Schizosaccharomyces pombe: one gene and its partner. The protein of the gene in region 2 purifies or fractionates together with the protein of the main gene of each other region. This does not show direct contact. Each region holds a gene or a part of one and is shown on either strand. Other genes may lie near its edges.

Evidence for each region.
Region 1: the proteins of dni2 (region 2) and dni1 purify together in Schizosaccharomyces pombe (affinity purification with western blotting, with the first as the bait; one study listed by BioGRID). This does not show direct contact.

The regions. Positions count from the first base shown.
Region 1 is NC_003424.3:2,995,251-2,998,792, reverse strand, and holds dni1 (tetraspan protein, claudin Dni1), read right to left. Parts: upstream 1,341-3,542; coding exon 636-1,340; downstream 1-635. Other genes in the region: rrg8 (protein Rgg8), read right to left, coding at 1,735-2,339, 2,390-2,489; rpe1 (ribulose phosphate 3-epimerase), read left to right, coding at 3,023-3,059, 3,105-3,542. UniProt on the Schizosaccharomyces pombe protein: Cell membrane protein which plays a relevant role in coordinating membrane organization and cell wall remodeling during mating.
Region 2 is NC_003423.3:1,182,648-1,186,114, forward strand, and holds dni2 (claudin-like protein Dni2), read left to right. Parts: upstream 1-1,779; coding exon 1,780-2,468; intron 2,469-2,619; coding exon 2,620-2,677; downstream 2,678-3,467. Other genes in the region: protein Trm734, read left to right, coding at 1-144, 198-1,457; SPOM_SPBC4.02C (rRNA methyltransferase), read right to left, coding at 2,970-3,467.

The DNA of each region.
Region 1 (3,542 bases), on a different chromosome or scaffold from region 2:
TACTCCGAAGTATAGGGTTGATCTATCATTACAAAAATTTCGTTTATTGATGGTAGGAACTAACGCAAAAGGGAGTTAGAGTGTGTAATTGCTTTACTGAATAATAATCAAGGCAGAAATCATTTAATATCTCTTTTAATTTCTTTCTATCAGCTACGATTGTAAGATACGAAAAAACTGTTACAGAAGTATACAGTTGATCAGATTTATGCAAAAAATCAATTGAAGAATGTATAATTTGTAAAGATGCGTATGTATATAGGTTCTAAATAAAAAGACTATGGAAAGAGAATGTATATGATTGTTTTAATCGATATTAGTCATTGATAATGAAATATTAAACAGCTTTATCTTGACTTGAATATATGAGCTTTTGACATGAAAGTTTCAAGTGCGGTAAGTAGAAATGAGTGCAAAAGAGAAATGAAGTAAAGTGCAGTGTGAAAACATATACATAAATAAACCAAGATGAGATTAATCGTAAAAAGAGGCGTTAAGAAAATCATAAAAAAAGCGGAACGTGAAAAAACGTAAAAACAAAAAACAAGTACAGATGAATACAGTTGCCATAATGTAATATAACAAGGTGAGAAAGGTCATATCTTCTCAAAACAATAATAGTTGAGGCGCATAATTTAATACTTTGTTGTTGAGGATTTGCTAGAAAAGGATGAACTAGGGGTAAGGACTTTGCTTTTTTCCAGTATCGTCTTACGAATCTTCTTGGTTCTTGAAGTAACCAAAAGAATAATAGAATCCGTGATACCTGTTAATGTCACAAGTCCCATAGAACACCATAAAAAGATCATAGCCTTTTTGCCTAGAGATGCAGTAACTCGATTTTGTGTTCCATTTCCAACAGCCATCACAAAAGAGGAGACAGCAACGTGAGCAAACAAAGCAGTTACTAGTATACTAAAAAAGGAGAAAAAAGAAAGGCTTATACGAATGTTTCTCAGGAATTCCAAACGCCCTATTAAGGGAAGGCTGGAAACAACACCCATAAGAAATGAAACACCGCATACGCAAAATGAAAAGACAATCATCCAAGGGTGAACTTCATTGATTAGAAATTTAGACCTTACATCCGTTAAGCTAATGGAAGTCAACCCAGGACAACCAGTAAATTGAGGTTTGCAGATCAGCGTCGCATTAGCAGAAAGTACACACATGTTAAAATACCCAACGTTAATTTGGGCTACGTTAGTTGCAAGAGAAAACAACTGGAATTTCGAGGTGGTACTAGATTGGCAACCTGTCATTACTAGTGCAAGTAAAATCCATGCAGCTAATGTGCAAAGAGTTCCAGTTCCTTGTACAACTGAATGAAGAAACAGCATGGTGATTAAATGTAGATGTTTGTTTGTCCTTGATACAAAAACTCTTTTCGTCAACTGGTTTTTTTGAATGAATAGGTTGAATGTTTTTTAAAAAAAGGTAAATTATTTGACGTTCGTGAAAGCCTTCAGTAAGCAAAAATATAGGCAAATCCTGAAGTAAAATTAAGGAGATTTAATCACAACAGAATTATCTCAAATGGCTTTTTGCGATGCTATGAAGGGAAGTAGCTTGAAAAGACGAACAAGGAAGATCCAAGCCAGGTTTTAAAGTAAACAAAAAAATTATTAATGACATAATATATTTCTAAGCTTTCTTTCAAAAATCTGCTTTTTTCATTGTCTTCGTGTTTTCTTTGTTCCCGAGAACAAAGAGTTCGTCAATGGTCATTCGACTCTATGAGGAATACGCAGCGGGCATATCTTTGAGAAAAAAAAGTTTCCATAGCAAAAGCCCCAAGGTATGATGTTTCTTGTCGCAAGGAACAAAAAAATATTTAGATCCCACTGGTAGCGTATGACTCAATTGCGATTTTAAAAAGGGCTCGGGCAGTATTTGTAACAACGATATAAACGATTGACGAGGATAGAGTTTTCTAAAAGAGAGAAACTTTTTCAATTGATTAATTTCTTCTAAATTCCATTGCACCCATATGCCACCATTCGAAATGTTAGGTCTCCTTAGACAATCTTGTAAAATTTTAATATCATTACAATGTAAATGATTCTGAGTTGAAGTTTCTTTTAATGAGGATATTTCTTTTAACAAAGAGTCCTGTAATGACTCAAGTATGTATCTTTTTATATCAGGACAATTCAAATTATTTAATTCCATGTTCCAGCGCTTGAAAATGCGCTTTGACGGCGGTTGCAAGTATCTATCCGATAATAAGCAGTATAAAGAAACATGTTTATTATGTAAATGGTTTTTTCCTTCTAATGGCAACAAACAAAATTTTCGAGGATTTGTATCCTTCCTTGCAGGAAACTTCGCTAATAGCTCTATATTGTCAGTAAGCCGAACATTAAAACTAACTAAAAAAGAAGATTACCTCTGGGAAATAAAAAGTGCGTTGCCAAGTCTTGTCTTAAAGGAGAGCTTAGGATGCTTATCAAAGGATCATTTTTCGAAATAATTTTTTTTATTGTCATTGTGAATACTTTGCAGATGTAGTAAATAGTATGGATCAGAAATAAACTCCCCACCCCAATCCTAACCAATTTGACTTCTAAATTAGGTTGTAGGATGACTTGTGATATACTTTTTCTTACTAAGCTGTGAAGCGTTGCATATAAAAAATAAGCATCATACTTTTTGGTCAGAATTAGTATGGTAAGCCGAGTTCAACTATTGAGACCTATTTACTATGAAAGACAATCTAATTAAAATTTCAGAAGCTTAAAATCATAAATATTATAAGTCTTATTTTTTATTAGGCATTTCACCTATTGACCGATTTGTACAGTACGACTGTTTCATGCTGCTTACCGACATATAAACTTTTCTATTTTTCATAAACATATCACATTTAACCTTCAAATACACTTATAATGAGGAGTATTTAGCGGTCACTTGATAGTACTGATAAAATTAACTTTACATCAGCTCCACCGAAACCTCACTTTACTATATACCAAATACTCTTCCTCAAGGACTCAAAAAATTTTGTATTTAGGACTCAAAAATGGTACAGGCAAAAATTGCTCCGTCTTTGTTAGCAGGTACGAATATTTTGAGTGTTTGATTCAAGTATTAACACACGTTAGGCGACTTTGCCAATCTTGAAAAAGAGGTTGGCCGTATGCTTAAATATGGTAGCGATTGGTTACACGTAGATGTTATGGACGCACAGTTTGTTCCTAACCTGACCATCGGACCCATTGTTGTGAAAGCTATGCGTAACCATTACACCAAGGAGGAGGCCTTTTTCGATTGTCATTTGATGGTTATTGAACCCGAAAGATATATTGATCAGTTGGCAGATGCTGGAGCCAGTCTATTTTGCTTTCATTATGAAGCCACAGAGAAGCATGAAGAAATTATCAGCCGTGCTCACGAGAAGGGTATGTTGGTAGGTTGTGCTTTGAAACCCAAAACACCAGTGGAGGTGATTTTGCCGTTCGTAGAAAAGCTCGACATGGTATTGGTTATGACTGTTGAACCAGGTAAGGGTGGACAGAGCTTCATGCCCGAATGCCTTCCTA
Region 2 (3,467 bases):
AAGTCGTCAAAACGTGATTACCTCTTAATTCAAACAGTCGGACGTGATGGTTATGTCAATTTATTTTCAATTCCGAGGGTAGAAAAAAGTGCTGTTCCTCAGGAGCTGTGTTCGAAAAAATGTTGTGATGGTATACTAAGCGGGGTGAGTATTATCTTTAAGAATATACGGTTCATGGTTCAGCTAACATATGCTAGGGTTTGTGTAAAAAATTAAAAAATGGAAAGGAAAATCAATGGGTTTGGGGTTTTCATGCATCAAATTTTTTTTTAAGGGATGAGACAAATGAAACTAATGTTTTCTTTATTGATTGTGGAGGTAGTCATCGTCCATGGGCTTTTTCAATGGAGATGGACATTCAAAGTTTTGCATCTTATAGAGCAAATCAACTTTATATTTATAGCACTGCTTTAAATCTTTTGCAAAGAAATTCTGTATTACAAAATGGTTTGCATGGGCGTGAGATTCGAGCAATGGATTTCAATCCTTCAGGGGATCTTTTATTATCAGGATCTGAAGATACTAAAGTAACCCTGCTTGAGTTTCAGAGTAATGGAAACATAATTCCTCTGAATTCTGTCAAGTTTCATAATTCAGGAATCCAATCGCTGACCTGGTTTAGCGATGATATTTTATTTTCCACTGGTGGTCTTGAAGAGTTAAATGTTTATAGGCTAATACAAAAGCCAGAGGCATATCTGAAACGGATCGTTCATGAAAAACTCTGCAAACCAAATAAAAGTAACAAGACTTACGATGGGGATCTTCGAATAACTGACATTTCTGTTGTAAAGGCAACCCATCTGGGTGAAAGAGTGTTATGGATTAATACTGTACAGTCCGATTCGACTATCAAAGCATTCACTTATAACGTAGATACGAAGCAGCTAAATTGTATAAAAAGTTGGAAATATAAGACAGTTTGTTTGGTTTTTGCCGAGGCTGTTATTTTCGGGTCTCATTTATTGTTGGTGGTTGCTTCGACTGATGGTAATGTTGCTATTTGGAACACATTTTGGAGGGATCCTCAAATTGAGCCATTAATAATTTGGATAAAAACAGTGCATCAATTTTGTGTTAAGTCATTAAATATTAGCAGGGATCAAGATGTGTTAACGATTTCTACGGGTGGTGATGATGGTGCAATTTCTCGATCTATACTTTTGTTAGAACAAATAAGTGAAAATTCAGTAGTAGTCAATTCTTTACATAACTACTTTTTTGCTGAAGCTCATGCTTCCAGTGTTACAGGTGTTTTATCAATTACCAAAGAGCTTTTGCTGAGTGTATCCATTGACCAAAGGATATTACTATGGAAAGTCGAGGGTGATTCATTGAAACCGATCCTGGAAAGATATACTCACGTAGCTGATGTGGGTGGCATGATCCGAAATAATGATTTTTTGATAATTTACGGAATTGGTTGCGAAGTTTTTAGACTGGGTTCTTTACGATGATTATTTGCTCAATAATGTCTACTACTCGCCTATTCATTCAGTTTACTCTTATACACTTCAAGGGACCTATCTTTTCATTTATCATGACGATGGTTTAAAAATAATAAATAATTGATTTGATTGAAAGGCGGCACAGCATTTATCGGTATTAAGTATGTGTAGTACTCATAATTTCTTTGTCCTCGAAGACAAAGAAACATAACAGTTACGTGTCAAAAATTTCTTTGTTTCAAAGTATTATAATAGACTTACATTCCATAATAGTTCTTCTATCCCTAAACTAATTTTGCTAAAGTAAACAATTTAAAATTACGGTTTAAGAATGGAAAGAGGAACTAGTAAATTCAGCTGGATTGGACTTGTTGCAAGAATATACAACTATATTCCTCATCCTAGTATTTTTTCGAATGCTATTTTAGGAATTGCATGGCTTTTTTTAATATTTTTATGTTGCAGCTGCTTAACGAAATCATCTATTTTTGCGAGATTACTAAGAGTAAAGAATGAAACAACCACCGTAGACGTCGGTTTCTTTGGAGTGTGTGATCAAGCTATTAATTCAACGTCTCGAGTTTGCCATGAGCTTCGAAATTGGGATCAAACAACTGGTGGTTTAGCATATGAAACTTCGAGATTTGCGTGGCTTCAAGTTCATCCTGTTCTCCTCGCGATTGTTGTTGTATTTTCAACACTATCCATTGTTTTGACTATTTTAAAGTACTTGGCTCCTGCATACATACGCCAATGGTCAATAAGTTGTTTAACTACTAGTACAGCCGCCTGTTTGCTTTTAGCACTCCAAATGGCTTTAGCTCATATTTCGGCTAATTCATATGCTGTAGGAATGAATTTAACTGGGAAAGCTACAGCAAAATTTGGGGTAGCTGCAGCAGTTTTTGGGTGGATTTCCAGTGGATTCTTTTTGCTATTTTCGCTAATACATTTGGGACTTTGGACTATTGAACGAAACAAGCAAAAGTTATTTGAAGAAACATCTCTCTCATTTAGCTTGTAATTATTACGAAAAGAATGTTGGACGACATTGAAATGACTACTATTAAGTAAAATCGCACTTATGATACTCTTTAAACGTATATGACAGATACCCTTTTGACTTTTTTAAAACTATAACTAAATTTCATTTAATTAACACATAAAACAGCATTACTACTAAATTAAGATTAATTGAAACACAATACTTCATTTGCAAAGACTATTAAACAAACATAAATAAGATTTTGTAAACCATATTACTAATTTGAGCAAAAATGTATTGAGAATTAGCTTTTAATGAATCATAAACCATTAAATATAAATTAACTAATGTTGAAAACAGACAATCTAAAATTGCAAATGTTACGAACCAAACGATCAGATGTATATGCCTAAGATTGGTAATCTAATTATAATATATTGAAAGTGGGAGACTTAAATAAAAAAAAGAGAAAAGAAAAGAAAAGTAGCATAACTTAATAAAGGATATTTTTGAAAAGGGATGGAAAATACTCAACTTTACTTGCGTTTTGTTGGACCAGTCATAGGAGAAGCACGACCAGCAGTCAAATCATCATCGGAATATTTCAACGACGATACATAAGGTCGTTTGTATCGAATGTCATATGTACATTCTTTTCTGATATTTGTACGAAGAATCCATCGCTCGGAAGGTGCTAATGTCTTCCACTGCTGAGCTCCAATATCTCCAATCTCCGATTTTACAATACCAGTTGACATGGACACGTATAATATAGTGCCATAAAGAGAAGGGATATCGGCGACATCAATTTCGTGTATTTTTTCACAGTCATATCCTTCTGCAGCCTCAGCACGCACCGTCCAGTACTCGTCACGATATCTTCCAATCGCCGTAACAATCCACAAGCGGCCAGGGCTACTATTAAAAGACGTATCTGGAGGATATTCGGGTTCACATATAATTGTTGAATTAGAATCGTGTGAATTCCTACGTGAAGAATTAGCGCTAACACTTTCCATTATTTCAGCAATTGG